Linked DNA regions of Coturnix japonica. The protein of the gene in region 3 purifies or fractionates together with the protein of the main gene of each other region. This does not show direct contact. Links are inferred from orthologs where the notes say so. Each region holds a gene or a part of one and is shown on either strand. Other genes may lie near its edges.

Evidence for each region.
Region 1: the proteins of PTPRU (region 3) and GOLIM4 purify together in Homo sapiens (affinity purification with mass spectrometry; 3 studies listed by BioGRID and IntAct, counting the BioPlex papers as one, with this or other methods). This does not show direct contact. The link is inferred for Coturnix japonica from reciprocal best matches to the Homo sapiens genes PTPRU and GOLIM4.
Region 2: the proteins of PTPRU (region 3) and CLGN purify together in Homo sapiens (affinity purification with mass spectrometry; 3 studies listed by BioGRID and IntAct, with this or other methods). This does not show direct contact. The link is inferred for Coturnix japonica from reciprocal best matches to the Homo sapiens genes PTPRU and CLGN.

What each region holds. Positions count from the first base shown.
Region 1 is NC_029524.1:18,193,305-18,196,956, reverse strand, and holds part of GOLIM4 (Golgi integral membrane protein 4), read right to left. Parts: intron 2,964-3,652; coding exon 2,805-2,963; intron 2,475-2,804; coding exon 2,142-2,474; intron 1,222-2,141; coding exon 938-1,221; intron 525-937; coding exon 445-524; intron 1-444. UniProt on the Homo sapiens protein: Plays a role in endosome to Golgi protein trafficking; mediates protein transport along the late endosome-bypass pathway from the early endosome to the Golgi.
Region 2 is NC_029519.1:26,014,825-26,018,476, forward strand, and holds part of CLGN (calmegin), read right to left. Parts: intron 3,010-3,652; coding exon 2,817-3,009; intron 2,707-2,816; coding exon 2,517-2,706; intron 1,825-2,516; coding exon 1,711-1,824; intron 1,146-1,710; coding exon 989-1,145; intron 591-988; coding exon 375-590; intron 1-374. UniProt on the Homo sapiens protein: Functions during spermatogenesis as a chaperone for a range of client proteins that are important for sperm adhesion onto the egg zona pellucida and for subsequent penetration of the zona pellucida.
Region 3 is NC_029538.1:2,489,856-2,493,507, reverse strand, and holds part of PTPRU (receptor-type tyrosine-protein phosphatase U), read right to left. Parts: intron 3,419-3,652; coding exon 3,389-3,418; intron 2,972-3,388; coding exon 2,814-2,971; intron 1,229-2,813; coding exon 1,038-1,228; intron 1-1,037.

The DNA.
Region 1 (3,652 bases), on a different chromosome or scaffold from region 3:
TTTTGATATTATTGTACTACTGCAGTTTCTAGGTAGCCCTTTTAAGTGTCATATAGTAGCTTCCATATGTGCTCTTAGCAGTAGGCAGCTTCTCCCTGAAGAGCTTACCAAACAGGTAATGCCAACAGAGCTGTTTTACTTATAGAAGGAAACTAACACTAAAAGATCATTAAATTTGAAGACATCAAAGAAAATCATAAGGCAAAGCCATAAATGTAACAGAGACTTAAAGTCCAGTTCAAGGAGCTTAATCAAAAGGACACCTTTCAGAAATATGGATATGATCTTTATAGTGAAACCCGTATTTCAGTCAGTTCTGACAGTGTTACTTGAGCTTGGGGTTTTAAACTGCTTCTTTTTTCTTTGTTTATACTTCATTTGAATCTGAACTGAATGTAAAATAACATGAAAACCTTATGGAAGGGAGTTCAGAGGGAACCTTACCTCCTTCTTCTTCCTGAATACCTTGCTCTTCTTCCCCTTGTACAATATCATGGTCCATGTTATCATAACGAGCCTGCTGACTGAGAAAAGTAAATGCAAATTCATTACTTCAGCTTCAAAAAGCATTTTAGCTTCAAGAAACAAACCACCATACTGCACCTCTGTCTCTCCTAACTCCTGCCAGAACATTTGACACTCTAGCTTTATATTAGCTGCTACTTTTTAGAATCACCTTTCCTGAAAGACAATGCCCATTATAAGATGAGCACTCCCTATACTAACCTGTGTGCTCTCATTTCTCCAGATTTCAGAGGCTTTCATGGTAAAAGGGGAACCCAACCAACCCCCACTCTGAATAACAGCCATTATATTTATCCATAGAAAGGGGGATATAAAGCTAACTTCATTTAATTTCTGGACAGCCCAGACTTGTATTAGATTTGCCTCTTTTCAGTGATGGTGTGAGGGATGTCATAATGCCCAGAGCACATACCATGCAATGCCCAGTCCATTACAAACATACATAAAAGATTTTAACCTCAGTCGGTTCTTATAGAATTTTTCTCCTTGCTCTGCCTCTCTCTGTAGCTGAAGCTCTTTTTCTTGAAGCTGTTGCTGCCGTAATAGCTGCGTTTGAAGTCTTTGCTGGTGCAGCGATTCCTGATGTTCCCTGAGCTGATTGGCTTCCTCTGCTCTTTGGGCTGCAAGCTGTTGCTGCTCCAGCTGCTGTTCGTAGGCTGGTTTATATCTTTTTGTGACAGCTTTTGTTGGTGTTACCTGCCAAAGAAATGTTTTAGTCACAGGTTAAAATCCCATTATTCAGTGATCAGAAGCAGATGTGAAGAAACTTCTGACACCAAAAATAAGTGGGAAAATTATACAGATCCTATATGCAACGGAGAAAATTGTAACAAAGTTATTTCATTATTTGTTGTCTTTGTTTAAATTCAAAGCAATTTTTTTTAACAAACTTTGAGAGTTTTAGGGGTGTTTGTGGAGAACATGGTGAAGAAGATAAGAAACTGCAGGAAATTTTTCCTACTCATTAATATAAAAGGAATCAGTAAAATCTGTATTCCATTAGAGATCTGATCTAGAACATAAATCCAGCACTCAGTGGTTTTATATAGAGCTGCACAGAACAAGACTTGCCACTGCTCCACACTGATTTCCCCTGATTTAATTGTGTTCACCTTGCAGTTTGAATTCCCTCTTAAATGGCAGTGAACACTGAGTTGGAAATGCTCTTATAGAAGGAAGGTATATCTGAAAAGGAAAGGCTGTAATTTGCTAAGATTGATCAAATTAATATGGCAGAACACCTCCTCATCAAAGTGCTGATCACAATTCCCTTCCAGCTCAGGCTATTCTACAATTCACGCTCATAAACTGTCTACTTTCCATTACCTACCACAGGCTTCAAATTTAAAAGAGAACACAGGATTCATCATGATTTTCTTCCACCTGTTGCTCTTTATCAGCAGAATTAATGTTAATTAAGCTGCATTTGGCAAGCACAGCAGTAAGCATGTGCTGATCCTAAGCGTGTAAGTGCTTTGAATCCCAAATTTTCTATAAATGCTACACTAAATTTACCTGGGAACAGGCAAGTGAAGTACCAGGGCCAGAAAAGATGAGCAATGCCTCCATTTAAACAGTGAATTAATCAACCAGTAGGTAAGAAAAGCGCTCCATACCTCTGATGGAAGACTTTCACCCAGTATGTTGGTTTCTTCTTCTTTCTGTTCCTGTTTCTTCCACTCATGCTCTTCTGGTGCTTGGTCCTGTTCCTCTTCTAAGTGCTGAGGCTGACCTGCCTGCTCCATTTCTTCTTCTTCAAGTTCTTTTTTGCGTTCCTCTTCAGCCTGATCAACACGTTGATCGTCATCCTCTCCAGCTTCTTGTTGCTCCTGAATATTTAGTTCTTTGGCATGCTGGCCCTCGTTAGCCCTTCTTTGTAGATGAAAAGACTCAGCTCTGTCATCTCTCTCCTGGGTATTTATTTCTTCTCTCTCTTTTGGCTTCTCACTCTGGAAAACATTATACAAGTACAAGATATTAGGGATTTCATCTTTTCAGGAGAGCTAAGCACCAGATACAGATACCTGTATTTCCACCTGCAGTAGTGAAACTGTAGTCAGGAGAGCCAACTGGCTGCCTTAGCACATGCTGCCCTTCCTGCCAGAAGGTATCAGTACCTGATTCTTGGCTCTGCATACCTAAGCAAGTTGTTACACAATACAACAGCATCATCAAGTAGTCCTGTATGCATGTTTCCAATGGAAGTTAAGCACATAGCTAGTATTTTACTGAACAGAAACCATTTCCTACAGCTCATATAGGAAGTCTGCGCTTTATACCTCTTCATGCTCTCCAGCTCTGTGGTGTTGTGGGAGGTCACTGTGAGGAGATGGCGCCTGCACCTCTGGTTCTTTGTTTGGTTCCGACTTCTCAGATTGGCGGAAACTTGGTATTTTGTTCAGTGTGTCCTTCAGCTGTTTGTATTCCTCCACCTGGGACTGAAGTCAACACATTAATTACACCATGTCCAAATCAACTTCTTAATAAAACGTAGCGATGCCAGAGTGAGCTTGCTGGCAAGACATATGCTAGAAAGACTCAATATTCACATCACAGCAACTACTAGCAAGTAGCAGGGATGAGACCTTTTAAGAATGGTCATTTCCATGCGCTAAACAGCATTGATTCATCATAATCTTTTCAGCCAAAGTGCACGTGCATGAGAAGATTGTTGGAAAAATCCCCATAGGACAAAGGTGAAGATTTGTTTTTTTCATGCCAAGCAGGAGAACTGTCACAAGGAGATGATGCATTTTCCTTGGCAGATTAAAGCAAAGGGAAACAGAGCACCCCAGCTTCTTTACTGGTAGAAAGCAGCACAGTTCTTTTAGTACATATACACATCATGAAAATGCCAAATCCTCAACATTTAGACAGGTGTTACAAAAGACAACAGACAAGATACAGAACTGAGGCAAGGAGAAGTTACAGAACACCTTCTGTGAAAGGAAAAAGGAAAAAAAAAAGACCAAATATAAATTTCTTAACTCTTCCTAAACTGTAACAGTCGGATGTATTCTGATTTGCAGTTTAATGCTGCATAAGACCAGAATATTTTTCTCAAGCCTTGAAAACCAGCATGAGAAGTAAGGACTGGTCACTGCCTATATGACAGGCATAGAAGAGA
Region 2 (3,652 bases), on a different chromosome or scaffold from region 3:
ATTAACCACTTTTTATGATAGGAGAGCACATCAGAAGCACATAAAAAGAAGTTAAGTCAAAAGTGACAAGTTTTAAGTATATAAAGAGGCCTGGTTGCAAATAAATCAGCTTCCATCTGCTGACAGGCACTGAATTGTAGTACCACCATTAATAGTGGAAGGTGCATCAACTACAATGAAATGTTGCTACATTTCTTGTAAGATACTTGAGTAAAATGTTGTACCCTTTTAATTTCAGTCCAGTATTGATCAGGGAAATATCATAGCTATTCTGTAAGATTATCAATCACAGAATAATTATATTACAGAAAATTATTCCAACAGAACTCCTTCCTTGCTACTTCTGGTTATCAAGAATATAATAAAATTGATACCTCATTAGCACTTGCTACTAATTTCTTCAAGCCCCAACCGTCTGCTGCCCAACGATCAGCGACTTCTTTTTCTGAGCATATTATGAAGTTATCAAAGTAGATATCAGATGTCATAGACCAGAGTTCTAAACCAATAGCACTGATAGGTGTCATCTCAAATGGGTGAGGATCTTCAAAATAGTCTGGGTTAGGTATTTTCCGAGGACTCCAGATTCCCTTTTATGGGGAAAGAAAAACATGTAATAATATTATCTATACCACAAAAATAAACATAAAAAAACCCACTCACAACAAAACAGGAAAATACATTTTAATGCAATTAAGACTTTCTGATTATTTCAACTACATGATTTAAAAAGCAAAGGGTAAGCCTCTGAACTTCAGGAAAACAGACCTGGAAACAACCTATGGAATTTTGGCAGATAGGTCTCAGATTTTTGGCTTAGGACAGACAGATTTCTCTTAAATTCAAACCTTTTTCCTCCATATTGGGTTATAGTAGTAAGTGACCATATCAGGTTCAGTATGAAGGGCCAGACATATGTACTAATTTTACTTTTCTGCTTGGTTGAGCTCCACATCTCTTAAATAATAACCTACAATATTGCTAGTACCTGATAATTAGGATTAACTATCATAGGTGCTTTCCATTTTCCTTTATACTTGGGGTTGTTCTTCATGGGACGCACCCACAGTCCACAACCAGGTGCAGTTGCACACTTTGGATTGGGGACCTGAGGAGCTTCCCACTCCCCATCCATTTCTTCATCCCTACAGAAAGAAAGGTACAAATAACCAATTGCAGGTTGGTCTGATCAGAACACTAACATTCAGTATAACTTGGGATCCGTATGTATTTTGCTGTAACAACCTCAGAATTTGGCTAAAGTTCAGTGGGCTGATCTAACTGCAATGTACATTTTCCAGAGGACTGAATGCTTTAAGGCCACACATTCGTAACTACTAGAGCATGGTTAAATGCAATCATACTCCTACGTCTGCAGGCAGCTTGCATCATTTCCATATAACATGCTTTAGGACTACTACATGACTTCAAGCATCAGCTTCAACTGCTTTGCTGCTTATCCCCATGGTAGGTTCTTTCAAATAGCTCCTTACTGTTTACAGCTCTTCAGAATACAAGGCAATTATTGACACTTGCATATTTTTCTAAAGGTAGCCTCACAAATCAACAAATATTCAGCCACACTTGTTATGTTCCAACTTAATATGGCAGAGACAGTGGGACTGGGATAAATTCTAATTTACTCAATGTGCCAGAGAACAAGCTTAGCTACAAAGCACATTAACAGATCCACGTGTATTAAATTCTTACCAGTCCTTCGGCTTTTTTGCATTGGGGTCCGGAACATACTGTGGTTCATAATCAAGCCATCCTTCGGGCTTAACAGCATCAAGATCTTCTATTTTAGAAGGCTCATCTTCATCCCTTCAATTACAGACTACTGTTAGGAAATACATCAGCTCGACTCTGAACCAATGTTCTGTTCAGAGGACTGTAACTGGTATGGAGGGGATAATATTCAAGGGCACAACATAGTTAGATGTGCCTATAATGAGAATTAGGTACCTACTTCTCCGTTTATAAACATTTAAACTATAGATTTCAAGGCACTTGTTAGCCCAGAAATAGCTGTCATGGACTGGCAGGTGCGTCAATCAGGTCTCTCCTTAAAATGTTTCCTTTGTTTAAGCTGCTATATGAACAGTACTTCAGGAAGAAGGAAGTATATGTACAACATCTGACCTAGCAGTGGCAACCCTGCCCACAGCAGGGGTGTTGGAACTAGATGGTCTTTCCATCCCTTCCAACCCAATCCACTCTATGACTCTACTAGTAGTGGAAAAACACTCTTCCTAATCCTTCAACTACGGTGATCTTAGTTACAAATTGCATCAACAGAAAGTTCAAATCAGGAAAAGTCAAGATTTTACTTCTTTCCTTAAAAGATGATCAGATCCTCACACTCCCACTTCAGTTACATTTTTTCAACTGTTAGTATTTGTAAAACATATCCCAACTGTTGAGAGCAAGAAAAACAACAAAATAAAGCCAAGCAAATATTATAAAGCAATAACCTGCATACAAAATGTTTTCTACAGATGAAGCTTTCTCCTTACCAGTCATCTGGTTTGACAGCGTTGGGATCAGGTATTTTTTGTCTCTCATCCCAGTCCTCAGGCTTCTTATCAGCAGGATCATCTATTTCTTTGGGAGGGTTTATTGGAGGAATCATATCCTCCAGAAGACTTCCCTTACTGATGACTGATTGGTCGATCAGCATTTCAAACGTATCATCTGGTTTCAGCACTACATTGAAGGAATTTACATTAAAGATCAATTAATCTTTAATTAATTAATTAATTAAATTAGAAGAGATTTTAAAAAATTAGTTTAAACTTGTAAAAACTAAACAATACCAAGAGTGTATAGGTGTGTCTTCTTGTCCAGATAGAACTTCTTTAGGTCCACATCGGGACGTTTTGCATGTTTTTCATCATATTCTCCAGTTTTAGGATTCTTATGCCTGATGATAAAGTGTAGTTTGTAATCTTCACCACATTTATCTGGTCCAAACATAATAGTATAAGGCGTTTTGTCAAAAAAGAATTCCTGTAGAAGTAAAAAAGTTAAGCATGTGTCAAACTGTACATTTTATCAAGTCATTTGGAGTACTGCATTTCCAAGCTATTGTGGCATATATACAACACAGTTACATTTTTCTAAGAGGTGTTTGACGTGGCCTCTATTCTAACACTGAAAACTGGCAGGGTAAATCATGAAAAGAATTTAACAGATGTTATGAGTTGCTGAAACAGCCTAACTACAGAGATCACTGAAGCCTCCTCAGACAAGATGAATGGGCTTACTAAGTCCTTACCCTTACACTAAGTTGAAATGCCTGCCACAAATCAAAACAGCCACACATACTCTTCTGTACATGTTACACTAAAAGATGGAAGAGAAACAGTTTCTGTTCTTCACAGCCATTTATATTTCAATAAAAATGAAAAACAAGGTATTATTACCCAGCATTTTAGCACTGCTTTCTTGCTCCACAGTAAATAATAATAAGCAATTCTTAAAATAACAGCTTGTTTTCTTCAGAGCATCCTGCATTCAGCTGGTCCAAAATTTCAGTTGTTGTTTTCTTTTTTTTTCCTTTAACTATATAATTTATCTACTTGGAATGCACAGTACCAAGCTATGTTTTTAAGCAACCGCTTGAAGGAAGACCACTTGATTTCTGCAAGTT
Region 3 (3,652 bases):
TGCCCTATTTTCCAGCAGATTACATATTGCTTGGTTTGTTTTTTCCTCCTAGTTTGTTTTTTCTTTCTCTTTTTTTTTTTTATTATTATTTAAATCTCCCCAGACCCTTCTCTCCCCAGCACAGAACAGGTTTGCATGTAATAACAGTAACATTCATAGATTGGCGTAAGAGGAGGAAAGTGGAAGGAAATTACATGTTTTCTCCCCTCCCATAATATCTGAGTGCTTTCAAATGACTAGGTTCCAAGAACATACAGCAGCTTTTCAAGGAGCACTAATGATTATAGCCAGCCCTGGTTTGTCCAATACATGAAAAAGGGGGAGGAAAGAAAAAAAAGCTCCTGCACTTGAAACAACTGAACATTAAACAGTAATTTCACTGGGAAATTTCAATCACTAGAACTGTGGGACACCGAGAAGCTGGGAAATCAGCACGGCCGTGTGCATTGCAGCAGAGCTGTGCAGAATTCTGCACTCTGTTACAAGAGCTGCAGCCCAATGGGATGGAAAGGGCACCATGTAAGTGGTGACCCTCAGGGATGATGTGCCTTCCCTACAAGGGCAGGGATGGCCCTTCCTGCAGCCTCTGCATGGCCCTGGGAGCTGCCAGCTTGCAGAGAAATTGCTCATCTTCAGGCTGTGTCCATGCTCACCAATGCATCTCCATTGGAGATGGAGGAAGTGGTCAGTAGGACCTAAGCAAGGAGCCCCCCAGCACCAGCAGAAGATGCTGGGTGACCTACTGCAAGGCTGGCAGAGTTGCTTCAGCTCATCTTGCTTTTCAACTGCTGGTTAAATAGAGAGCAGCCAAAAACTCAAGTGAGACTCAGCCAGAAAAAGCAGGAACACCTCCTGTGCTGATACCTAAGGACCTGGGGAGCTCAGAGAGCTGTGATCTCCAGCTCCCTCCTTCCAGATCATTGTAGCTCCACATCATCCTATTGCACAAGAGTCCTGTACACCACCTTGCCACATCCTGGGGTCCTCATCCATCCTACCACGTATCCTCCTCAAAACACAGCACACAACGCTCTCACCTCGTACTCCTGCTTGAAGCCATAGCCTTCTGCTGTCTTCATCTGGTTGATGTGCTGGAGGAGGTCAGCCACACGTACGGCAGGGTGCAGCTGCCCAGTGTGATATGGGGACCCTTTGCGACCACATTGGCGGCGGGGGGACCCCCCCAGCAGGCTGCTGGACTCATTGACCACACTGCTGCGCTGGTCACCTGCAAACCAGGAGGGATAAGGAGATAATCAGGGTCTGAGGCACTACTCCCACATCAGCCCCACTCACCCACAGAGCAAGGACAAGGAAGGTCTGTTGGGGCTGCCCCACCACTGGTCTCTCTCAGAGTGACAAAGGTGGTCCAGACCCCACCATACTCTCTGCAGCTGTTCCTGCAACCCAAAGCCCACAAGGGCCATTACAGCCTCTTAGGACCACAGCACAACTCTTAGAAACCAGTAGGCAAGATCTTAAGAGGGCTCGCTGCTTATTTCTCATTGATTCAAGCGCTTACCTCCCATCCAGACCAGTACGAGCCACATGCATAAATATTCACTTAAAGTCCTGACTCAAAGAACTGCCTTGCCAAAGTCCCCAGCCCAGCCTAATGGTTAATTTTCCTCACTGCTGGATACCATCCTCTTACTTCTAGCACTGACACAAATGGGACTTGCTGTGGGTTAATGCATGAGCTTACGCAGTGTTTTACCCAGCTTATGTCAGCGCCATATAATTACTGGCACAGCTCACCTATGTTCACCCCACAGGGCTGCTGCACGGCCAGCATACATGATCCTGAAATTTGGGTTTGCACGAGAACTGATGTTCCTCACTGCTACCAAGGAGGTGGCTGCTGCAGATCTCACAGTGCCAGCAAGCAGCTCTGCTGTGTCAGTGCAGCCCTGGATGTGGTTTCCCTAACAACACTTATAAAGCCACCTATGCTGGCTTGCTCAGAGCTGCCAGGCCTTTTTTTGGGGGCGAGGGGGGTCTGCTCTAATGCAAGGATCAGCCTCTCACTTGTGCTGGCAGCTCTGGCTCCTCATGCAGCCCATACAGAGCCTTTCTCCAACAAGTTTAATAGGAAAAGAACTGCGGGTGTTGCAGTGTGCCAGCAGGTCCATGCAGGCTGGGATCTGCACGGTCACCCACACTGAGGACCCTTTATGAGAAGTGTTCCTGGCTTTGTTTAAATGCAAGAAAACTGAGGCAAGGACCAGCAGAGGGACAGGGAGCAGCAGAGCAGGACAACAACCCCAGCCCAGGTGGGAGCAAGATTCAGTTCTACAGCCCCACTCCCATAAGAAACACAGCATGGCTGGCTATTCTAGCTCCAAGATGGAGAAAAATCTCAGTACAAACCAGCCTGGCTATGAGTGTTTCGAGGAGCCCCAGTAGGACAGTAACTGAAAAATAATACGCTTATACAGATGTATTAAAAGGAGGCAAAGTTTGCCCTCTGGGCTTCTACTGTCTGCGAGACAATGCCAGGAATCATATTAATCCAGCATCGGTGGAGAAGAGCTGTGTGTAAAGCAGCATCTTGGAGTTACTGTAACAGATGTTATTAGCATATGTTTGAAACTGAGGCACTGAACGAGTTATTTTACAACTAAATCAGTGCCGAGTCGCATACTCCAGTGGGTGTTCAGTTATCAGTCTCCCTCTGATAGGAAGGCTGTGGCTCTTTAACCCTACAAACCCCACAGCCGTGCACAGCTGTGGTCAGAGCCAAAGGGCCAAGCGGGGCATACAGCTGCTCTGACACTTAAAGCAATGGCAATGCTGCAGCTCCCCATCCTTACCACGATTGCTGTAGTTGTGGGTGTCCATGAAGGACAGCCCCAGCCTCTCATCCTCCTGCAGGGTGCTCTGGTCCGTGAAGCTCCGGTCGATGGCACTCATCATGTGTGTCTTCTCGTGGCGGTAATTAATTGTTGCTTTGGTCATGTTGACAGGTTTGCTGCAGAGAGATGCAAAAGGACAGCAATGAACCAGCAGCACTGCCAGACCCCAGACCAGCTCCCCAAGGTTTGGTATATTTGGGGCCATAAGAAAGCTTATTCCCCCCGGGCAGGACCAGCCCTGAGCCCACACCACCTGAAGGACCTCACATGAGTGGGGAAAAGACACTGCAAAATGCTGCCAAAACCCTGAACTCAAGTAGAATTGGCCACCTCAGCAGGAGCACAGCCATGCTGGGTATCTGACCCTTTCTGCTTACACTGCCTTCCGTCCTAATGAGCTCAGAAGCATTATTTTCCCAAGCCAAAGAGGCCCTTAAGATGTACTTGACAGAGAAAAGGACTTGTTGGAGTGGAGAGCAGCAGAGCAAGGGGGGCAGGAGGGAAGGAGGAGAGAGAGAATGACAATTACTTACGGGTAATAGGAGTAAGAATAGTAGTTCCTCCTGGCAAGCGTGCAAACAAAGAGAACGGCACAAATTGCACAAGCAGCTTTTCTTTGATGGAGAAAGTGGGGCTCTAGGGCAGCGTGCAGGGAAGGAGAGCACAGAAAGGCAGGCACCCGCACACCACGAGCATCTCAGAAGGGTCCCCATCCTCTCAGCCCACCCACACAAGCCACCCTCCTTCTGCACTGCCTCAAGTCATGGGATGAAAGCTGAGGGCAGCTCCTCCCTGTC